Linked DNA regions of Canis lupus familiaris. The protein of the gene in region 1 interacts with the protein of each later gene in a pairwise test. Links are inferred from orthologs where the notes say so. Each region holds a gene or a part of one and is shown in the gene's direction. Other genes may lie near its edges. The genes, in order: SMAD4, RASSF5, DCP1A, ATF7IP, EWSR1 and LMO4.

The links.
Region 2: the proteins of SMAD4 (region 1) and RASSF5 interact in binary tests that used the Homo sapiens proteins (3 or more experiments, as listed by UniProt). The link is inferred for Canis lupus familiaris from reciprocal best matches to the Homo sapiens genes SMAD4 and RASSF5.
Region 3: the proteins of SMAD4 (region 1) and DCP1A interact in binary tests that used the Homo sapiens proteins (3 or more experiments, as listed by UniProt). The link is inferred for Canis lupus familiaris from reciprocal best matches to the Homo sapiens genes SMAD4 and DCP1A.
Region 4: the proteins of SMAD4 (region 1) and ATF7IP interact in a two-hybrid assay, tested with the Homo sapiens proteins (2 studies listed by BioGRID and IntAct). The link is inferred for Canis lupus familiaris from reciprocal best matches to the Homo sapiens genes SMAD4 and ATF7IP.
Region 5: the proteins of SMAD4 (region 1) and EWSR1 interact in binary tests that used the Homo sapiens proteins (3 or more experiments, as listed by UniProt). The link is inferred for Canis lupus familiaris from reciprocal best matches to the Homo sapiens genes SMAD4 and EWSR1.
Region 6: the proteins of SMAD4 (region 1) and LMO4 interact in binary tests that used the Homo sapiens proteins (3 or more experiments, as listed by UniProt). The link is inferred for Canis lupus familiaris from reciprocal best matches to the Homo sapiens genes SMAD4 and LMO4.

What each region holds. Positions count from the first base shown.
Region 1 is NC_049222.1:24,038,340-24,042,334, reverse strand, and holds the start of SMAD4 (mothers against decapentaplegic homolog 4), read left to right. Parts: upstream 1-1,195; 5' UTR 1,196-1,239; intron 1,240-3,252; exon of another isoform or gene 3,253-3,417; intron 3,418-3,995. UniProt on the Homo sapiens protein: In muscle physiology, plays a central role in the balance between atrophy and hypertrophy. When recruited by MSTN, promotes atrophy response via phosphorylated SMAD2/4.
Region 2 is NC_049259.1:3,364,575-3,368,799, forward strand, and holds the start of RASSF5 (ras association domain-containing protein 5), read left to right. Parts: upstream 1-1,425; 5' UTR 1,426-1,455; coding exon 1,456-1,909; intron 1,910-2,765; exon of another isoform or gene 2,766-2,819; intron 2,820-4,225. UniProt on the Homo sapiens protein: Potential tumor suppressor. Seems to be involved in lymphocyte adhesion by linking RAP1A activation upon T-cell receptor or chemokine stimulation to integrin activation.
Region 3 is NC_049241.1:36,923,059-36,926,558, forward strand, and holds part of DCP1A (mRNA-decapping enzyme 1A), read left to right. Parts: intron 1-2,896; coding exon 2,897-3,035; intron 3,036-3,500. UniProt on the Homo sapiens protein: Necessary for the degradation of mRNAs, both in normal mRNA turnover and in nonsense-mediated mRNA decay. Removes the 7-methyl guanine cap structure from mRNA molecules, yielding a 5'-phosphorylated mRNA fragment and 7m-GDP.
Region 4 is NC_049248.1:14,037,489-14,040,988, forward strand, and holds part of ATF7IP (activating transcription factor 7-interacting protein 1), read left to right. Parts: intron 1-2,276; coding exon 2,277-3,500. UniProt on the Homo sapiens protein: Recruiter that couples transcriptional factors to general transcription apparatus and thereby modulates transcription regulation and chromatin formation. Can both act as an activator or a repressor depending on the context.
Region 5 is NC_049247.1:23,003,698-23,007,197, forward strand, and holds part of EWSR1 (RNA-binding protein EWS), read left to right. Parts: intron 1-963; coding exon 964-1,175; intron 1,176-2,012; coding exon 2,013-2,193; intron 2,194-3,500. UniProt on the Homo sapiens protein: Binds to ssRNA containing the consensus sequence 5'-AGGUAA-3'. Might normally function as a transcriptional repressor. EWS-fusion-proteins (EFPS) may play a role in the tumorigenic process.
Region 6 is NC_049227.1:61,435,912-61,439,848, reverse strand, and holds the start of LMO4 (LIM domain transcription factor LMO4), read left to right. Parts: upstream 1-1,137; 5' UTR 1,138-1,681; intron 1,682-3,757; exon of another isoform or gene 3,758-3,849; intron 3,850-3,937. UniProt on the Homo sapiens protein: Transcription cofactor. Plays a role in establishing motor neuron identity, in concert with MNX1, acting, at least in part, to disrupt LDB1-LHX3 complexes thereby negatively modulating interneuron genes in motor neurons.

The sequences.
Region 1 (3,995 bases):
GCAGGGAACACGGGAGACGACGGCGGCGGGACACGCAGGAGTGCGGGTTGCCGTGGTGCGGGGGGGGGGGGCAGCTCGGGAACGGGCGGGATGCCGAGGGGATAGCAGGGGGGGACACCGTGGGGACAGCCAGGCAGGACAGCTTGGGAACGGGCGGGGACAGCGGGGCGAGGACAGCAGGGAGGGGACGGGGACGGGGGCGGGGACGGGGGTGGAGAGCAGGGACGGGGGGGCGGGGCGGGGGCGGGGCGGGGGCGGGGCCGGGACGCCGTGGGGACAGCGGGCGGGGCCGGCGCGGGGACGGGCGTACGGAGGGTCTGAGCGCTTCCTCGCCACTAGCTTGCGTCGGGCTCCCCACCCCCGGCAGGGGAAGTTTTTTCTAGGTGGTAAAAAATAAAACAAAAATTCGAAAGTATGCAACTCGTACGTGTTTTCTGAAACTTTTAAAAATAAAAGAAATGCGCGCATCTTGGAAAAGTTGAGATAAGTAGGTATGCACTGCGAAGCCGAGTTTCGCCCCACAGGTGGCCTCAACAGGTGCGCGGCAGGTCCTTGAGCGCCGCCCCCATCGCAGTGTCCCCCGAGCCCCGTCCACTGGCCTCCGTGACCCGCGGCCACACTCCCGCACGGGCTGCCGGTCCGCGCGCCGCGGAGCCGGGAGGGGGCCCGGCAGGTGTCCGCCCTCGGGGCCGCCCGCCGCCGGGCCGCGCATCGCGCCTGCGCCCCGCGCCTGCGCACAACCCCCCCGCCGGCGCTCCGCGGGGGGCGGGGCCGCGGGAGAGGGAGCTGCGGGGGCACGGGCCGAGGCCTGCAGTTACCCGGATGTGGTCGCCGTGCGCGCATGCTCCGTGGCCTCCCGACAAGTTGGCAGCAACAACACGGCCCTGGTCGTCGTCGCCGCTGCGCTAGCGGAGCGGCTCGGGTGGCGGGGCCCGCGTTGGCGCCCGCGCGCCGTCCTCGGGAGGCCTTGCCCGCCGGTCCTTCAGCGGCGCGGCCGCCCGGCGGCGGGAGCGGCTAGGGGAGCCGGGCGCCCCGCGACCGAGGGCCCCCCCCGCGGGGCGGCCCGGGAGCTCGAGGCGGCCGGCGGGCGGCGGCGGCGGCGGCGGCGAGGAGGGGCGGGGGCGCGGGGGGAGCGGTGGCCCGCGGACGGGCGGCGGCGGCGGCGGCGGCGGCGGCGGCGGCGGCGGCGGCGGCGGCGGCGGCGGCGGCGGCGGCGGCGGCGGCGGCGGCGGAGCCCAGGTAACGGCCCCGTGCCCTCCCCTTCCCCGGCCGGGCCCGCGCCCCCCCACCCCCGGGCTTCCCCGCCCCGGGGCGGGCTCGGGCGGCCGGTGCGTGCGTGTGCGCGTGCGCGTGCGTGTGCGCGGGGGGCGGGGCGGGGGCCGGGGGGCGGGGGGCCTCGCGCCTCGCGTCCCGGGCCCAGCGCCCCCGCGCCTCCGCGCCCCCGCGCCCGCCGCGGCTCCCCTGCCGTCGCCGTCGGTCTTTGTTGCTCCGAGGACTTGCGCCCGCCGCCCCCGCCGAGCGCGCCCGAAGTTTCCCGTCTCGGGGACACGTCGGTGCCGCCTTTGTCCTCCACTTTCCCTTCCTGCCGGGGCCGCTCCGGCGCTCGCCTCGGCCTGCGCTGGGCGCTCTCGCGGCTCGGGAGCGGGCGGGCGGCGGGGGGGAGCCCTCCCGCTGACCTGCGCGCGCCCCTCCCCCGCACCCCTCCATCCCTCCCCCCTCTCCTGATGAGCACCCGGCCGCCCCCCCAGCCTCCATCCCTCCACCTCTCCACCCCGCCCCTCCACTCCACCTCTCACCCCCCCATCCCTCCACCCCCCACCCTTCCACCCCTCCACCCCTCAATCCTTCCCCTAATCAGCTCCCGGCCGCCCCCCACCCCACCCCACCCCACCCCACCCCACCCCACTCCCAATGAAAACCCAAGGACCCAGTTTCTCCCGCTGCTGGGACTGCGAGCGCTGGGCGCGAGGCTCTAGGACGGAGGGCGGTGGCTCCATCACTTGCCCCCAAAACTGAGGTTATCATTTCTCAGGGAAGATTTTTCAAAGAAATGGGCGTGTTGGGTTAACTTGAAAGGTGGCTTTGGGGGCCTGGAGAGGTGTCCGACGGCTCTGCTGGTGGTGATGCGCAGCACCTCCCCCCCCCCCCCCCAAAGCCCTGGTGAAAGATTCTTTTTCACGAACACATTTTATTTCCGATGAATTCACTTTGGACCCAGTTCCTTGGTGCCTTTTGCGCTGTACTCTGAGGTGGGGCTGAGGGCCCTTCGGGGTCGTGGACGCGGCGCAGCGGGCTCCTGGGCATCTCCTGACCGCGAGCCAGGGTGCGGAGGAGCTGGGGTGCAGAGGCTCGGTAGGGGCCCCGACCTGCCGCAGGGAACACCCCTTTGAGTCCCTGCAGGGAGCACCCCCTTGGGTCCCTGCAGGGAGTGTCCTCTTGAGTCTCCACAGGGAGCACCCTAGTCTTCGCAGGGAGCACCCCCTTGAGTCCCCGCGAGGAGCACCTCCTTGAGTGTCCTCTTGAGTCCCCGTGGGGAGCGCCCCCTTGAGTCCCCGCAGGGAGCACCCCCTTGAGTCCCTGCAGGGAGTGTCCTCTTGAGTCTCCGTGGGGAGCACCCCCTTGAGTCCCCGCAAGGAGCACTCTAGTCTTTGCAGGGAGCACCCTAGTCTTCGCAGGGAGCACTCTAGTCTTCTCAGGGAGCGCCCCTTGAGTCTCAGCAGCAGTCTCTGTGGATCTTAAAAAAGTAGGTTGAGTAGTTTTTGTTGGAACAGACCGTGGAGTCTTAAGAGGAAATAAGGAAATCCACGCTTTGAAAAAGTAACGGGATTTAGGACGCAGCTGGGTGGGTGGGCCGCGGTGCCCGCGCCTGCCTTCCTGCACCTGCGCCGTGTTGCCCGCGAGCCTCTGAGCCTCCGAGGCGTGAGGACTTTTCCGTTAAGGACTTCTTATTTTTTCTTCTGAAAAGTTCTGATATGCCGAGTATGTGACATTTCAAGTTGTAAATGATGTGATTGACCTCTTAAAATATGACGTCCTGCTGCTGTTTCATGAGCTGTGACTTTGTTTCCCTAAACGGGTTTGTTACCAGAACCAACAGGACTCGCAGGGTTTTGGGGTCTAAAGGGGGTGATGAATTGTGTAGGTTTAAGTTGTCGGAATTAAACCTAAGAGCCTTTCTAGAGAAAATGGATAGAACCTTTCGTGGGTCTGTTAATAGAAGTGGCTTTTTCTTTGCTTTCCAGGTTTTTGGGTGAGGTTGCTTGAAGAGGCACTGCATCTTCTTAATTCTTTGATTTTCCGAGTAGGAGGGCCTGAGTGGAAGCTTCTCTGTTTAGCTGAGTGCCCGCCTTGTAAATCTCGAGCTTAGAAAAGAATTGCACGTCAGTTTGAGATTTGATGGAAATTTGGGCTGAGAAGGTGAATTTGAAATTTTTACATGGATCATTGGCCTTTTCTAATGGCTTTGCTGCTTGAAGCAATGCTGCTTACACTACGAAGCAGCAAATCTTCTAAAAACCTATGTATGTTTTATTCTGAGGCTACATTTTGGTTGAGCTGTTTATTTGTGTCTGAATTGTTTTTCTGCATTCCCCTTTAGACACCCCCCCCCCCCCATATTAAAGAGAAAAAAGCATTAAACTAATTTATGCTGCCCAGTCACACTCCAGCCCTCTGGCTTGGAAGCTGTTTTTTTCTGATTGAGCTGGTGTTATAACGTCATTAGACACTATCCTAATTGAGCTGTGAATTGCTGTGGCCTCTACTAGGGCTCTTAACCCTGCAGGATCTGTCCCGTTCATTTAAAACGCATTTTTAGTCCTGTCTAAAATTTTGCCTATTTTGTTGAGTACCTTTTTTTATGTTTAAAGTTATTTCAGTTCTATATTGTTCCCCTCTAGCTCATGCCTAACTTTTTCCCATCTTCCATCCAGTGATTTTGATAGTAAACAAGGCTTTAAACATCTTATGTTGGCCGTTTCGGTGCTCATTGTACA
Region 2 (4,225 bases), on another chromosome or scaffold:
CACGTCCTCATCTCAGCTCCTTCTGCTTTGTAACACTGTGGGGTTGGCTATTTTCCCTTGTGCCCAGAGACCACCTCTTGAGGTGAGAAGCTCCAGCCTCCGGTGAGGCCCGGCACCTGGAACATGTCCCCTGCCTCAACGCAAAGGGCTCTCTGATTGCCATCACCATGAAGGAGAAGCTGTGGACGGAAGCAGGCTGGGAATTCCCTGATCACTGGACTTTCCAAATTTTAGGAATCATCTAAAACTTACCTCCAAAGGAAAAGCAAAAGCAAAAGTGAAGATTCCCCCACCGGGCGCTGGGGGGAGTCCCATCTCTGACCTGGGAAGGAGAGGGTGCCAGTGGGAGGTCGAGAGGACTTTAGATTATTTTCAAAGTTGGTGACCTCTGTTGAATCAACCAAACTGAACCCCAGGTTTTACGAGGACGGGCGGTGGTCACTGCGTCAGAAGAGTGGATCGCAAATGCAATTGCCTGTCTTCCCACTCCCAGACTAGTTTACAGGCAAAAAACAAACCCTGGAGGCTGGAGGCTGGAGGCTGGAGGGGGCCCAGGGCCATGCTTCTGGCCCCTTCCAAGGTCCAGCAGTCCCGTTCCCCGCCCGCGAGAGACGGTCAGGACAGGCTGCTAACTTGGCGGGATCCGGTGTAAAGAAAACCTGCCGGGCTCTCCGTTCAACGAATATTAAGCCTCAAGACGGTGGAATCGGAGCCACCAGATGGAAGGGACAGAGGAGGCTGTGAAGCAGGCTCGGGGGCAGCGGAAAGCGACCCGGCGTCGGGTCCCCGGGGGCGCCGTCCTCTCCTGACGCAGGGGGGTCCCGGGGTCCCCGGGCAGCCGCGGGCAGAGCCGGCCGCGACCCAGGAAGACGCGCGCTCCGCAGCCGCGAGGGGGGCGCTCTCGGGGGCCGGGCCCGGGGTCATCCGCACCCCAGGCTTCCGGGAAAGGGGAACCCGGTAGGGGAAATCCAGCCCGTCCCGCGGTCGGCGAGGGCAGCGTCCCCGCCGCGCGCCCCTGGGGGTCACGCGGTTCCGCCCGGCGGGGGGGGGGGGGGCGGGGGAGGCCGAGGATGTGCGCGCCCCGGCCCGGGACCTCGCCGTAGACGCCCCCCCCAGCTAGTTCCTAGGCCCCCCGCGGCCTCCTGCGCCCTCACCTGGGCGTGGGGGGGCGGGGGGCGGGGGAAGCGGCGGGAGAGCGGAGGAGGCGGGGCTGCAGGCGGCGGCGGCGGCAGCAGCGCGTCTTGAGCGGCCCGGGCCGTCCGCTCGGCCTCCCGCAGACGCCCCGGAGCGCGCGCTCGGCGGCGGGTGGTTCCCCGGGCGGCCTCCCCGCCGCGCCCCGCCCCGCCCCGCCGCGCCCCGCCCCGCCCGCTGCGGCCCCTTAAAGGCGCGCGGGGGAGGGCGGGCCGCCCGCCTCTCGAGCGGACTCGGGAGCCGCCGCCGCCGGCGCGCGTGGCCATGGCGTCCCCGGCCATCGGGCAGCGTCCCTACCGGCTGCTGTTGGACCCAGAGCCGCCGCGGTACCTGCAGAGCCTGAGCGGCCCCGAGCCGCCGCCGCCGCCGCCCCCCGGCCGCTCCCCGCGCCGCTGCGCCCCGGCACCTCTGTCCACCGCGCCCGGGGCGCACGAGGGGCGCGGCGCCCGCAGGGCCGCCCGGGCGGACGCGGAGCCCCAGCCGCGGCCGCCCAGACCCCCTCGCCCCATCCGGCCGGGTCTGCAGCAGAGACTGCGGCGGCGGCCCGGAGCGCCCCGGCCCCGCGACGTGCGGAGCATCTTCGAGCAGCCGCAGGACCCCCGCGTCCCGGTGGAGCGAGGCGAGGGGCACCGCTTCGGCGACCTGGCGCTGCGGGGCGGCCGCGGCTGGTGCGACCTGTGCGGACGGGAGGTGCTGCGGCGGGCGCTGCGCTGCGCGAGTGAGTGCGAGGCCGGGGCGGGGGGGGGGGGGGCTCGGGGGGCCGCGGGAGGCCTCCGGGCGGGTGTGCTCCAGGGGCTGCCGGCACGCCAGGTGTGCCTACGCCGGCTTAACAAATGCCCCTTTCCCTGACAGGTGCGTAGCTTCCCCTGCGCGCACACACGCGCGCACACACACACGCGCGCGCTCTCGGGTTGCGGATGAGGACCACCGCGGCAAGGTCATTCCGTTGTCTCCCACGCACCCGCTTGCTTTTGTTGTAGCTTCGTGACAGTGGCTGCTGAGACTGCTCTTGACACGGCCATTTGACCCGTGCTTATTAGGGTTAATGGGAAAACGGCTTGTCTCCCGCGGTCCAGGCCCGCGGTGCGTGTCCACCTGTGGTGCACCCCCCTCCAGGGCGCACTGTTGGGACGGGAAAGAGACCCGGTTCGGCTTTGGATGGAAAGGGGCTGCGGGTGGAAGTGAGCCTGAGGTCACCCGGACCGTGCCCCCTCCCCCCTCGTTGCCTTCCGCTCTGACCCTCCCCCTAGGCGGTGCACCAGTCATCAGTGTCAACTCCCTGTCCAGTACTTTCCTCCCTGGAGCTCTCAGGCCCCTCCAGCCTCTTTCTGAGCCAGGCTCTGCTTGAAACCTGACTGTAGAACACTGGACACCCAGCGTGTAGACTTGCTGAGCAAATTTGCAGTCTTCTTGGGGGTGAGGGTTATTATTTTTGTTTCTTCATCCAGTTAGGCACGGGTATCTCTTTAACCGTGTCCTCTCCCCGCCCCCATATTTGCAGTTGCCGTGTTTGGTGGAGGATATCCATATCCATGTGTTTACGTGTTTACAGAGATATTTAAATATCTGAAGTACAAAGCACAGAGGATGGCACAGCCCCTAACAAGCATCTCTGGAAATGGGTTGTGGTTTGTATCTGTCCGCGAAGGGCCCTTCCCCCAGGACCCAGGGCCCACATCTCCCATCTGACCGCAGCTGCTTCCCCATCAGGAAAACCCTACCTTGCCCGTCTCGTCTCTGCAGTTCACAGCAGAGGCTGTGCAGGGTGTCCCCTGCTGCGACTGGCTTCAGGGGAGGAAAGCTCACATTCTAAGCCAGGGTCAAGCAGAAGGGAAAGATTGGAGGGGAGAGTAGGTGTTGCTCCCTCTGCCAGCAGAACTCACGGTTTAGGTGCTAACACGAAAGGAAAGAGCAGACTTCATAGAGGTGGGTGTTGTGGTTGGAGGGCAGCTGCCACTCGGTAAATGCTCCCGACCTTACAGTAGAATCAAATGTCACTTGCCCATGGACGTCTTGGCAACTATTGCCCTCTCAGGGGTCCTCGGGTACTTTACTGTACCCCCCACGTCTATAAACACAGACAGAGGGAGCACTCACCGTCCTGGAGTTCGCTGTGCTGGAATCCTGGGAAATCCACTTCAGTGGAATTCTAGTCTGTATTAAGACGTTTGGGGACTGTATCACCCAGGGATGTCTGAACACCAGAGAGGGAGCAGAGCTGGAATCAAGGGACTAGGAGCGGAGTCTCTGTTTGTCATTATTAATATTTAACTAGCTGGGGACCTGTGGCTGGGTGGGAACAGTTGAGAAATGTTCTGATGTGCGAATGAGCGAATGAGCGCTGGCAGGTGAAGACACAGCTGGCTGCACTCCCCGAGCATCTTCCTTTAAGTTGACCATCTAATTCCATGCTGCGGTTGGTTTGTTTGATCTTTGTTTTCAAGAGCAAGGTTCAGAAATAGGACTCTAAAAAGGCAATAGCATGCAGCGATTAAGAGAACAGACTGAAGCCAGAGGACCTGTTTCAAATCCCTACTCCACCGCTTAATCTCTGTGTCATTCTGGGCATCTCTGTGCTCTGCTTTCTTGCTCTTAAAAAAAAATGAGGCTAACCCTGTCGGCTTCATTGTGTTAATGTGAGAATTAAATGAACGAATATATGTAAAGTGCTTTAACACAGTGCCTGGCAAAATGCATTGTGAACGTTTCTGTTATCCCCTCCCATCCGACAGCCGCAGTTATTTGTCTGGCCTCATGACACCTCTGAGGGTCACCCTTCCACGCAGTGAGTGTAGTTCTCAAACCCTGCCTGGTTGAACTAAGTGGGGAAGTGAGTGCCATGAGCATCCCCGGATGTGCGGGTGTCGGCTGTCCTCCAGAAACACCATTCCTGCTGGGTGTGGCCGAGGAGCATCCTCACTGAATACCAGTGGCTTAGAGAGCACTTAGGTATTAGTGTCTTGCCTTTATTTCATCTGCCCCTAACAAAGTGCCAGGCACAGAGCAGCCTCAGTAAGTAGCCTTTGATGAAGGT
Region 3 (3,500 bases), on another chromosome or scaffold:
TTGGCAAATTGAATTTAAATAAAAAATTAAAAAAAAAAAAAAAAACACTGAGAGGCTATGTGGGAGAGCAAGTGAACTTCTAGACCTGTACCATATCTGAATTTGGAAATCCTCTCTGGTCAGTGGCAAAGTTGAAAATTCACTAAACTTAGGAAATGCTGACTCTCTTAAAGAGGAAATCCACTCTGCCAGAAACTCTTCTTAACAATAAGCACTTGTTAGAATGGTTGCCTATATAGACTATGAAATTTGGAGAATTCATGGAAATAAGCTTTATTCCTGATTTTACAGGTAGTCTTGGGGTATATTTGAGAGGAGGGTGAGAGGCAAGGGCATTCCTCACAGAGTTTGGATTAGAAGAGTCTTTACAGAGTCTAAGCATCATTCCTGTTCCTTCCATGCCACCTAGACAGCTTCTGCTTGCAGCAGTGGTGTGCTTTATAAGGTGGCCGTATTCCACGGGTGAGCGGTGGTGACTATTAGAAATGACCAGAATTCTCTTTGGGGGCCCCTGGCTGGCTCAGTCAGTAGAGCATGCAACTCTTGATCTCAGGGGCAGGAGTTCAGACCCCATGTTGGACGTAAAGCTTACTTTAAAAATAAAAAAGAAAGAAAGAAAAGGAAATAAAAGAGATGTTCTTCTTTTGAATCAAAATTACAGATCCAGTCCGGGTCAGGGGAGAGAGGAATACCAGCCTGGGCAAGACAAGCAGCATGGCAGGAGGCAGGAGAAATAGGCTGTGCAACTGGAGTCCTCAGTAAAGGTGGATTCAGACCGGTGCAGTCTATAACTGAGTGTAACTACAAGTCCCTTGAAATAGCACTTTTTTTTATCCTCCTGATTATTAAGGAGGGCTTGTTAATAATGGAACATGAAGAGGGGCACCTGGGTGGCTTAGTGGTTGAGCGTTCACCTTAGGCTCAGGTCATGATCCCAGGGTCCTGGAATCGAGTTCTATATCAGGCTCCCTGCAGAGACTCTGCTTCTCCCTCTTGCCTGTGTCTCTGCCTCTCTGTGTGTCTCATAAATAAATAAATAAAATCTTTAAAAAAATAAAATAACGGAACATGGAGGAAAGTACAAAAAAGGAAAGTGAAATTGCTTGTGACCCACCATTAAGAAATAACCAATATATGTCTCTCTGGTCTTTTTTTCCTTTGTAACTGGCCTCACAGCTGTCACAATCTTTCTTTCCCAGTATGGATAGAGGAAAAAATAATGTTGATTCTAAATGGTCTGATTCTCATATCACATAACAGTCTTCTTTCACTCTACTGTAAAGTCCATGATTGTATATTTATTTTCAAAATAATTATCCCAGGGGCTCCTGGGTGGCTCAGTCGGTTAAGCATCTCAGTCTTGGTTTTGGCTCAGGTCATGATCTCCGGGTCCTGGGATCAAACCCTTTGGGAATTTGCACTCAGTGGGGAATCTATTTAAGATTCTCCCCTTCCCTCTGCTTCCCTACATGCTTTTTCTGTCTAAATAAATAAATAAATAAATCCAAAAAAAAAAAAAGCCAAAACTAATCATCCTATTCACAGCTGTAAGAATCTAGATCAATAAATGCCATTACCTTAAAGCAGAATTTTCCAAACAAATCCTGCCTCAGGAGAAGATTCTATATGGTCAAATAAATTTGGGAAAATTTTTAAGCCCACCCTTATCAGAGAATCGTAATACATTTTAGCATGTTAAAAAGTCAGAATGATTCTGCTGTTAAAAAAAAAAAAAAGATCTGTTTGATATTTTCAGTGTTTTCAAATAGAAGAACCATCCCACACACAGTAATGGGAGCTCCTAAGCAGGCTGTTTAAAAGGCTGTTTTAGAGCAGTGAACAGATACCAAGTAGCCTATTGTTCTGCTCCTGTTATTCAGAATAAACAACAAACCCTTGGCTGCTGAATTATTTTATTGCCTATCCTTATCACTGTCCAGAAAGTTTTCAGTTCATACAATTATCAAGCTGTGTCTGTGCTCATAATAACCTACTCATTACAGCTGGGATTAAAACATAAATGAATCTTAAAAAGAAAAAAGGCCCCAACCCTATCAGTGACATTCTTAACCCTCAACTTTTCTTGCTTTGTGTGTTTTCAAGTGCAGAATTAGTGTAAGCACCAATCAGAATAAAGAGCATTACCAATCACCCTGACCTCAGCCACCCACTCTGATTTCTAAGGAGAGAATAAAGGAAACCTTTGAAGATTCCCCAAGACCCCTCTTTTCAAGAAGGTGGTTTCTCTCTTTCCTTGCTAGTCTGGTGTCGTACAAACTTTGCATAGTTGGTTGCTCAGCTCTGCAACCTGCCTTTGTCTTGCTTGCCATGTCCATTTGAAAATGTACTTTACCTGGTAGTTTGAAAGAGAAATAATTAAGTCATTTTTACTTTATTTGCTTCCACCAACTCTAGAAAAGGATTCTGTACTTCTGTCCTTCAAACAGTGAGACACGCCATTCAGCGTTGTTATGCATGAGCTGGCCAAGTGGTTAGTCACATGTTCCCGGGATGAACATGTTTCCGGGATGAGGTAGCGGAGGCCTTGCATATGTATTGGGAGAACAGTGTATCCTGTGACACTCTTCCCATATCCACAGAAGACGAACACCAGGAGAGTTCATGGGTCAAATCGGGTTTAAAGAAGTGTTTCTGGGATCCCTGGGTGGCGCAGCAGTTTGGCGCCTGCCTTTGGCCCAGGGCGCGATCTTGGAGACCCAGGATCGAATCCCACATCGGGCTCCCGGTGCATGGAGCCTGCTTCTCCCTCTGCCTGTGTCTCTGCCCCCCCCCCCCCCCCCCCGTGACTATCATAAATAAATAAAAAATTAAAAATATATATATATATTTAAAAAAAAAAAAGAAGTGTTTCTGAAACCTGGTTCTCTTCCACTAGTGTTGTAGAAGAGGAGACACGGCGGTCCCAGCAAGCTGCCCGGGACAAGCAGAGTCCCAGCCAGGCCAACGGCTGCAGTGACCACAGGCCCATCGACATCCTGGAGATGCTAAGCAGAGCCAAGGATGAATATGAGAGGGTGAGATGCTGACTAGGAGGACCAGCAAGGGTGGGGGAGGCCTCTGGGGGACTCATGTACTGGGAAGGTCACCTCTAGGCAGAGATGACTTAGTCCAAAAAGCAGAGATGATTAGTCCAAAAAGAGAATTTTGCCTTACAGTTTTTAGCCTAAAAGGGAAAGAAATTTGCATATCTCCGAGTCCTTGACTTGCCATAAAAACCTAGAATGCTCTTTTTCTGTTTCCTGTAAAATTACTATGGGAGAAAATGGTTTCAGGTTGTGGAAGGTAGCCTGCAACAAGTAGTTCTGAAAAAGCTTCTTACCTATTGTTAACCCTTGTAGCCTCTGCTAAGGCTTAGAATTTATGTAGTCTGATTATTTGCACCCACTAATACTAAAAGGTACACTTATGGTCTGTAATTGGTGGTAGGTTCACAGCCTTTAAATAAACAGCATTTGAATTTTACCCACATGTGAAGCTTT
Region 4 (3,500 bases), on another chromosome or scaffold:
TCTCATAGTTCTAGATGCTAAAAGTTTGAAATGAAGGCAATCCAGGGCCATGCAGGGATTAAGGAAGGACCTATTTCAGACCTGTCTCTTAGCTGTGACTTGGCAATAGCCAAACTCCAGTTTTTCCATGGCTCTCTGTGTGCATATCTATATCCAGATTTCCCCCTTTTTATAAGGATACCAACCATAGTGGATTAGGGCCCACCCTAATGATGTTACTTTATCTTGTTTACCTTTGCAAAGATTCTGTCTAAATAAGATTACATTCCGAGACATTGTAATATGAAAATAATATATTTTATCAGATGGACACCTTGGTTGGGCCTGAAAGAAAGCCATAATGCTTCATGACTCACTTATAATCTACATTGCTTCATTTTTTAAAAAATGAAACCAACCTTGTATTTTTTTTAATGAGCTTCACATACTCATAATATATGCCTTTTTAAAGCAACTTTTTTTTTTTTTTTTAAATTTTTTAATTTTTTTTTTTAATTTTTATTTATTTATGATAGTCACAGAGAGAGAGAGAGAGAGGCAGAGACACAGGCAGAGGGAGAAGCAGGCTCCATGCACCGGAGCCCGACGTGGGATTCGATCCCGGGTCTCCAGGATCGCGCCCTGGGCCAAAGGCAGGCGCCAAACCGCTGCGCCACCCAGGGATCCCCTAAAGCAACTTTTAAATAACATGTGAAAGAATAAATCACAAGAGAAATTAGAAAATATTTTAGCAGAGCAACAATGAAGATGTAACACATCAAAATATGCAATGCAGCTAAAGCAACATTAAAAGGGAAATTTATAGCTTTATGTGTATTGCAAAAGAGGAAATATAGAAAATTAATGGTTAACGTTTAGCATGATGCAGAACTCCCAGACTTTTCCAGAGCAGCTGTACCATTTTATAATCCCACAAGCATTGTGTGAGGGTTCCAGTTTGTCTGTGTCTTTACCAATACTCATTATTCTCTTTGATTATAGCCATTCTGGTGTATATGAAGTGTTATTTCATTGCAGTTTGATTTATATTTCTCTGATGACTAGTAATGTTGAGCATCTTTTCATTTTTTAGTGTTTTATTAGCATTGGTTTATTGGCAATTGGTATATCTTTTAGAGAAACGTCTATTCAATTACTTGGTCTGTTTAAAAAAAAATTGAGAGAGCATGCACACACGTGCACGGATCTGTGTTCCCTTGAGCACAGGTGGGTGGGGAGAAGCAGAGGAAAGGGAAAGGGAGAGAGAACCTCAAGCAGACTTTTCATGTAGACTCCCTGCTTGATTCCACACCCCTGATATGACCTGAGTTGAAATTAAGAGTCAGGTGCTTAATGACTGAGCCACCCAGGCACCCCAGTTACTTTGTCCATTTAAAGTTGGGTTATTTTTGTTGTTATTCAGTTGTAATAGTATTTTATATTTTTTAGATGCAAGTCTCTTAGATACATTATTTGCAAATATATGATATGTGAATGTTTCCTGTTGAGAATTATCTTAGCAATTTTTGGATGGTAATCTTTTGTAAATATATTTATAGTACTGTTAATTTAGATATGCCTGATTGCAAATGCCATCTTTCCTTAATTTTCCTTTCTTTTTTTCCTTATTTGTATATCTCTTTCCCATTCCTCTACTGCTTTTGGTCTCTCATACTTTTATTTTTCTTTCTCCATCTACTTTTTTACTGCATTTACTTTTTTTATGCTACTATATCCTCTAGATTCTGAATTCATTAGCTTACTGAGAAAACTAGAAACTAGTCACTTTTTCCTTTCTCTCTCTTTCTTCTTTCTTTCTTCTTTCTTTCTTTCTTTCTTTCTTCTTTCTTTCTTTCTTTTCTTTCTTTCTCTTTCTTTTCCTTTCTTGTCTTGTTTTTTCTTTTCTTTTCTTTTTTAATGGGATGAATGGCCTTAATTGTTTGCAAAATGGGAAGTGGAGGAAGAGGGGACGTTACAGTTCGGCTCCAAGAGTGGCTCTAAAGACTGACTCTTGCTGTCCTCCCAAAAAAGCTAGTCTTTTTTTTTTTTTTTTTTTTTTTTAGTACTTCATGATGATTGATCTTCTATGTATGGTTCATACCTGTCATCAATTTTACATTACATAAGCCCAATTAATATGAAAATTAACACATAGCAAGGATTATTATGCTTTCTATATGTCATTATTTCAAAATTACATTAAGGCCTACTTGCTTGTTAAGATCAGTTTGCAGTTCATCTATGATTAGGTGGCTTCTGTTTCAATTATTAAACTCTCTCTCTTTCTCTTTTTAAAGATTCAAAATGGATAGTATAGAAGAACCTCAGAAAAAAGTCTTTAAGGCTCGAAAAACAATGAGAGTGAGTGATCGTCAGCAACTTGAAGCAGTGTACAAGGTCAAAGAAGAACTGTTGAAAGCTGATGTTAAGCTGTTAAATGGCAACCATGAAAATGGAGATTTGGACCCAACCTCACCTTTGGAAAATATGGATTATATTAATGACAAAGAAGAGGTGAATGGCATTGAAGAGCTTTGTTTTGACCCTGAAAAAAGTAAATCAGAATGGAAAGAAACGTCCTGTACCTTAAATGTTAATGTAAAAAACAAGCAGGATGATGATTTAAAGCATGAACCTTTGTCTACTAATAATATAGCTCCTGAACTAGTTTGTAAACTGACTGCTGAACCAGCTTCTGATGAGCCAGCCTCTGTTGATCTGGCTATGGGAGATCCAGCATCTGGAGATTCAACCCCTGAAGATCTGGCTTCTGAAGTATTAACCTTTGGTGATGCCACCTCTAGTGATCTTGCCTCTGGTGATCCCACCTCTGGCGATCCCACCTCTGGTGATATCACCTCTGGTGAAATAGTCTCTGGTGAAACAGTTTCCAGTGAGCCATTCTCTGGTGAATTGGTGTCTGGTGAGTCAGTCCCTGATGAATCAGTCTCTGGTGAACCGATCTCCAGTGATCCAGCCTCTGGTGATTCAGCCTCTGGTGATCTGTCCTCTGGAGCATTGGCCTCTGATGATCCACCCTCTGGTGATCTGGCTTCTGGTGATCTAGCCTCTGGTGATCCAACCTCTGGTGATCTGGCCTCTGATGAACCCACTTCTGATGAACTAACCTCTGATCCCACCTTTGAACCAGCTTCTGTACCAGTTTGTGAACCTGTTCCTGAAACTGACAGTACAGAGCTTAGTAGCAATAAAGGTGATGATTTTCTTGAAAAAAATGGGGATGATGAAAAGTTAGACCAAATTTTCTCATTGGATGAGAAAAATAAAGCTGATAGTAATATTGATGCTGATGAAGAAACCCTAGAAACAGATGATACAGTTATTTGTTCAGATCTACCTCCTGAGAATGAAAAGAAGGTAAAAGAAGATGCTGTCACAGAACCTGCTCTTAGAGAGGAGGCTATCTCCAGCAGTATGGAAATTGACCAAAGTGAAAAGAATGAAGATGAAAATTCTGCAGACCTTGTAGAAACCATTAGTGAAAATATTATAAAAGATGA
Region 5 (3,500 bases), on another chromosome or scaffold:
ACTGACCGGTAAGTGTACAGCGTGGAGCAACAGTGGGCTTATGGCAGTTCTTCGCTGAGCCAGCCCGTGTTGCTGAGGGTAGTGCATCTGGCCTGTTGAATAGGTACACTCAGTGAAGAGAAGCTATTGAGTCCTTACAGCCATGTTGGGGGATGTGATTGAGGCTTAGTTTAGTTGTGCTCTTAAATATAATGTTTTTTGATTTTTGTTATTATAGTTCATCTAAAGTTTAATAGCAGTTCTTTGAAGCTTTATCATTACTCAAGAAGGTATCTTTGATTAGTTTCCCTGCAATGTGGCTGACACGTCAAAAACACTTCTAGTACAGTGCATTGATTCTGAAGTTTCTTTAGTTTCCTTATCTGTCTTTTCTTCATGAATGCCCAGATTTCATAGATAATCAGGCATGTCTGAAAGTTCAAAAGCATATATGATATATAGCAAAACAGTTTGAAACTTGGACAGATCATCAAGAGAAAATTGCCGTATTTGTGTGACCGTATACACACCAGAGCCTTGTACTTCTAGAACAGTCACTGTCATGATTGAAGGAATTATTAGAGGCAGGTTTAGAACTGCAGTACTTAACTACCTCCTTTACCTCTATGGCTTTTTCACTGGGTCAGCCTGCCCTGGGTCCCTGTGCACATATTCTTAATTCAGGAAACATCAGACTCACAAATTTGCCTTGAATTTAATCGAACACTGGTTTTAAGAGGGTGGGGGGTAAAAGGAGTCTCTAAGGATTGTATGTTGTATAGATTGGTTTGCATTAATTTTCTCTTTTGCATTTAAAGCTTTATTCTGAATACAGATATATTTGCTTAAATTCAAACTGTTGATATTTAGAAAGTAAGTGCATTTTTAAGGGTTTCTGTGTCACAATATGAATGTCTCGTATTTAGGAGGCTTGAAGAAATAACAAGCTTCTCCTTCCTAATAAGCTTTTTTTCTTTCTTTCAGCTACTCCTCTACACAGCCGACTAGTTATGATCAGAGCAGTTACTCTCAGCAGAACACCTATGGGCAGCCGAGCAGCTATGGACAGCAGAGTAGCTATGGTCAACAAAGCAGCTATGGGCAGCAGCCGCCCACTAGTTATCCCCCCCAAACTGGATCCTACAGCCAGGCTCCAAGTCAATATAGCCAACAGAGCAGCAGCTACGGGCAGCAGAGTGAGTTGCTAAGAGAGAAAACCAAATAAGAATGATTATGTTTGGAGTTTCTGAACATGGGGAAATGCTCTTTGTCGCTATTTACTTTTGGACTCCAGGATGCATCTTTAGGACATAACATCCTAGCTAACTGCTTGGATATCCCATTAAAGACATAAATGCTTTTCTCCAATTTAATTGTTGTTAGTGTACTTTGCAAAAAAAATAAAATAAAAGAGAGTTTGTAACTAACCATAGAAAATATTATAGGACGTTAGCCTCGCTCTCTTTGAGGAGGCTATAATACAGTGAGTAAAGCTGGCATTCCTGTGGCCTACCCACCCACTCAGTAAGGAAGCGAGCAGGTAGCTGTTGAAGACTACTGCAGTTTTGATAGTCAAGTAAATGATATGTTTTTGGGGTTTTTTGTTTGTTTAAATCCATAAAAAAAGTAACCAAAAACTCAAAACTGCATTCCCAATTTAATTTTTATCTGGATCATTGTTTTTAATTAAACTCCATCCATGGGCGTGTTTCATTATAGCTATGAAATGAGTAGTGCTTCTTGATGGAGCCCAACCTTTAAGCCCTAAGAAACCTGCCTGCTATTTTGTTTCCTGAGAGTAGTTTTAAAACAGCTTTTGGAGACATCCTAGGATGCAAAACCCTATAAACTGTTGACCAGAGGGCTCATTTCTTATTTGGGTGGTTTATTCTAGGCTAACTATGTAAGGTTACCTCAGAAGATGGTGCCTTGGTTAGTGCCTTGCGATTGAGCATTCTGTGATTCCAGGAGAAAGTACAACAGGCAGTGTTCAAATGCTGGTCCATGGCTTACAGATGTGACTCTTTCCTCAGGTTCATTCCGACAGGACCACCCCAGTAGCATGGGTGTTTATGGGCAGGAGTCTGGAGGATTTTCCGGACCAGGAGAGAACCGGAGCATGAGTGGCCCTGATAACCGGGGCAGGGGAAGAGGGGGATTTGATCGTGGAGGCATGAGCAGAGGTGGGCGGGGAGGAGGACGCGGTGGAATGGGGTAAGAGCAAACCTTTTCTCCTTTTACCTAATTTTGTTTCATCCATAGGATTTTCAATGGAAAGAAGGGACTGAAAGACATAAGAAATTTATTTCTACATTTCCATGGACAATCTGTTGAGCCCAGGCCATCTTCTAAAACATGGAAATGTCATCTTTGTGGCATAGATTAAGTGGCAGTTTGCTTTTTTCCCTGCCAATCTACTTGGTTGGGTTGGGGAGAACAAAGAATGGTTTTGAAACGAGAGCTTTCAGTTCCCTTCATGGTTTCCAGAGGTCAAAAGCCTCTGTGGGTAATAGACTCGGGATGGAACACACACAACCCTTCTAACACCCCTAGGTTTTTAACTAATTGCCTTTGAATGGTTGTCTTGAAATACCTGGTATATATATATATATACTGCAGAAAAGGAACACAGTTGTTTTCCACAATGTTTGTCCCCAACTTCTGTTAGTACTTGGAATTGTTGAACGTAATGATGAAGATCTTGGTCCCATAACCCCTGAACTATGACCTGAGGTGCACCTGGTACAGAAAAGTCTAATAGTTTTTTGCAGAGTAATGTATATAATTACAGGATCACTCCCCATTGGAGATTTTGAGAAGTCTAAATCGGTTTGACCATTTTGATTGATGGCACAATCTGGTTTAGAAAACTTTGTTTAGATCAGTAACATAACCCTGCTACCTGTGCCTGCCCCTCCCCTCCCTCTCCCATCCCTTCCCCCCTTTATGGTGTCTGTACTTTGATGAAGGTGAGGTATAATGTTGATGGTTAACATAATCTGGAAGGTTTAGTTCTGTGTGTGTTCTGTCCCTATATAAACTAGTAAAAAAAAAAAAAAAAAAAGTTATGCAGAATGTTACATAGTATGTATAAATTGGATTTGGTGCCACTGTTGGTACAAGGAAAAATTGGGTGTAGGGATTCTTTTTTGTTTTGTTTTGTTTTGTTTTAAATAGAAGTGGACTTCAAAATTAAATAAAAATTTGATCTTTAATTTTTATATTCCCAAATCTGTTTCCTATTGAAAGATAACTGAGAATTAGGTTCTGTGTATTCTGCATAACTTAAAAAAGTCTTTGGTGAAATCTTTATTGGAAGAAACAGTTATCTGACAACACAAAAATTGATAAATAATTTGGTATAAAATAAAATCAGTCTGATTTGGAAAATGTCATTCCATTATAAAGGTTTCACTTTATGGATGTTTTAAAATAGACGTAGACACTTGAAATTACTATCATCACGTCTCCAATCACCTAGAATTCTTAGTATTTTCCAATTGCAAAATCAATTTCAAGTT
Region 6 (3,937 bases), on another chromosome or scaffold:
ATTTATACTAGACGTGACCTTTCTTCCTCCCCAGAGGCTGTGGGATGGTGAATGTTGCCATTCCTTGTTGCTGTCTGGGGGGGGAGGGGGGGGGGGACGGGGGGCTTGAGGAATCGGGCCTCTCCTCCTGCACAGCAGGGGTGGATGGAGGCCGAGCCCTCCTCCCTGAAGTTCCCCTGGACCCCCAAAGTCCGGGCTGTGAGCTCTTCAGCTCCGACTTCGGACGATCCCCTACGAGACGCCCACGGGGCTCTCGGCCGGCGCTCGGGCCCACGCGGGGGACCGGGGCCGGGCGGCCAAGTCCTGCAAGACCTGCGGACTCGGTCCCCACCTCCTCGCTCGCTCAACTTCCCACTAAGGGCTCATCCGTCTCCAACGCCCGCGAATTAAAGGCAGAAAAACAAAACCTCTTCTGCGTGCGAGCGAAGCCCCCCGCCCGGAGGTTTCGGGGAGACTCTTCCTCCCCAACAGGAGGGGACCCATTTTTGAGCAAGACGAGAAGTTTCCTGCGGGGCTCGCGCGGGCGCGCGGGGGGGGGGTCCCCGAGGGGCGCGCGGGTGCGGGTCCCCGCGATCGCCGGCGCGGGCAGGAGCGGCGCCCCCGGCCGCTCCATCCTGCCCCCCGCGGGAGGGGGTTGGGGTCCCGCCGGGGGTCCCGCGAGGGTCCCCGGGGCTCGGCCGCCCACCTGCCCCCGGCCGGGCCGTCTCCGCCCGCCGCCTCCCCCGCTCCCCCGCCCGCGGAGTCTCGTTCCAGTCCTCCCTTTGTCCTGCCCCGGATTGGCAGGTTTTATTATTCCGCCTGAACAACCCGGCCGCCCAGTGGCTGAGGGTCGCTGACGTCGGCGGCAGAGCCGGGGAGTAGTTGGGATTCGGCTCTGTCAGTAACACATGTGTAAGCGCCGCGCAGGGAGCGAGCGAGCCGGCTAGAGGCCAGCGCCGCCGCCGCCGCCGCCTCCTCCGAGCCGGGCGGCCGCCGCAGCAGCAGCAGCCCGGGCAGCGGCGCAGGCTCCAGCGCGCCGGGCCCGGCCGGCCGCAGCTCCCCGGCTCCCGGCCTCCGCGCCGGCCGCCGCCGCTCCGGGGCTCTGGTGCCCGCGGCCGCTCCCCGGCTGGAGGGGCAGGAAGCGCGGCCGAGCGCCCGCCGCCGGCCCCGAGCGAGCGAGCGGGCGAGCGAGCGGGCGGGCGGGCGCGCGGGAGGGAGGAAGGCGGAGGAGGAGGAGGAGGAGGAGGAGCGGGAGGCGCGCGGGCGGGGGCGGGGGCATATACAAAGTGAAGCCACATTGCCAAACTTGCAGCAGCGATTGCAGCAGTTGCTGCCGCTGCGCCGCGCCTGAAGCCGCGCCGCGCGGGCCGCGGGCTCCTGCAGCTGCTCGCGCGGAGCCGGAGCCGGAGGCGGAGGCGGAGGACGACGCGGAGGACTCAGCCTGACACTCCAGCTCCCGGCCGCCTGCCGCTTACGGCGGGGCCCCCCGACCCAGCCTCAGGGCGACGCGTTTAAAAAAAAAAAAAAAAAAAAAAAAAAAAAGCAGCCCTTAGCCCCCTCCTCCCCTTTCCTGCTTCTGCGAGAACATCCCCCCTCCCTCCAGCTCCGCCAGCCAAGGCGCCCCTTCCTTGGAAGCCGAGCGGCTTCGCTCGCTTTTCGCCGCCGCCGCCTCTCGCAGTATTGCAATATAGGGGAAAAGCAGGTAAGGGGACGGCTGGGGAGCCGCGGGCGAGGGGGGGCAGAGGGAGGAGGGGGCCGATGTGGGCCAGGGCTGTTTTCTTTGGCTTCCTTCCCTTGACCGTCCCAAATTGCAAGTAAACAATACGTCGGCTTGGATAATGCGCGAGTCTGAAACTACCGAGGCCGGCCTGCGAGCTAGCACGGAGGGCAGCCGGCCCCGGGCCGCCAGCTTTGTAGCGGTTCCTGCTTACAAAAGGGTTCTTCTTGGAGACGGGGCTGCTGGGGACCTGGGAGGGTGGGGAGGGGTGTGTGTGCGTGTGTGCGTGTGTGTGTGTGTGTGTGTGTGTGTGTGTGTGGTAGTGGGGGGGTATTTTCAGTTCCTAAGGGAAAGGCCGGAGGTGCTTAAATGAGGGTTTAAGTATGAGAAGTAGTGTGGGGGAAATAGTCACGACCCCCCCCCCCAGCCCCCCAGTAAACACTATTTTTGAAACAGTGGCAGAAAGGATCTAAGTGAGCAGGATTCAGTATTGCTGGTTCTTTTCAAAAATTCCTCTTGGCTTATAAGTCTTTTGTTCCAATCCAGGAGAAATCCGGTGAATCACCTAATTAAAATCAAGACATGAATTAAGCATCCATTTTTGTACTACAAATTGCCAGCGCTACGTTTGTCCCTCCCCTGGTCTCCATTAAAAAACACCAGAGACGTTGTTAAAGGGGGGCAGATTTTGCCTCTAGCTGCCAGTTCTGCTTTCTATTTCACTGACTATCCCAGGACCTAAATTGCTTGGCTATGTAATTACTAGAGTATAAGCCTATTTAACTTAAAAGCTTTCTTTTTTTTTTTTTTTTTTTTTTCCAACTCTAAATGAAACTTGATGAGGGCCCGTCCTTAGTTATCAGGGGAGTCAGTTTCTGGTCAGTCCTCTTGATTCATCTCTTTTAGATTTAATCAGCATTAAGGTATTGCTTGTCCTTAAGAGCTTTAGCTAATGGGGTTACTGGATGCTTTTCTCAGTGTAATGTTTCCTTTTCGAAAAAAATATACATATATATTTACCTCTCACCAAAGATGGGGGCGGGGAAGAGCTTGGAATCTCCTCCCTCCCTCTCCCCTTTTAAAAAGGAATTCGGAGCGATTAAAACGTTGGGGGAAACAGTTTAAAGACCTCGGGCAGGAAATGCAGATTCATTTGGGTTAGGGCTGAAATTGTAACAAAAAGCAATTCCTCGAGTAAATGCATCAGATAAATCAATTTACATAAAGGTATGATGCATTCGGATAAATGCAATGCTAATGGGTTTTAGAGTGGTCCTGTTTCCAAAGTCTCAGGGTTTTGTTACAGCTTAATTGGTGCAGTTCTTATTCTGGTTTATTGTGCGGTCACTGGACACACGTTCCGGGACTCTTTCGGAGGAAATGTGTTTAAAATCGGCCTATTTAAGGAACCCGAGTCCTTGTTTCGTTCCCTTCCCCTGGTTGTTTTTTTTTTTTTTTTTTTTTTTTTTTTTTGCAGCAGCCAAGTTGGGCCGGGGACAGGCAAAGTTCGCCCTCTCCCTTCTGAGGTATCAGCTGAATGTCTTGAGCAGATAGCCGGGAGCCTCGGGGGGAGCCTCCACTCTCGGCTTACAGAGGACAAAGACAAAACAGGCTGCTTAATTGGCAGTAAATAACTTGATCTTTTTATAGAATAAGTGACTGGAGGAACACTAGGACTTTATTGGACTCAGGATTGGAGGCAACAAATTAATCGGTTTAGGCTAAGCTTTATAAATTGATTCCTATATTATACCCCAGTTGCTTCTCGTGACATTCATTAGAAAGAGTGGGGAATTTTTTTAAAAGCAGTTTTTGGTGACAGCAGGACTGGCTCGAATATAACTTGTGCATCCCTTAATAGTGCCTTCTCGCATATTATCTGTAACGTCGCCCCCCCCCCCCCCCCACACACACACACTCCCCCCCCTTTGGAGGAACAAAGCTTTAGCATTTAAATTGCTGATCAAGGGCAGATTAGTGAGACCAAAGTGGAGAGTGTTTGTATAGGAAGTTAACAGGCATCCTAAAGTTCAATGATCTATTATTCTTGCCTGTGTCCTGAAAACCCAGAGAAAACACTCATTGATCTTCAAAATGAAATGAGATTTGGAACAATAATGGGAGATGGCGGTCACCACAATGGCATGTGAAAGGTGCTGTTTAAAATACGAAAAACCAGTTTCGCAACTTTACACACCGCACCCCCTCCCTCGCGTCCCCTGCCTCCCCTCCCACCACCTC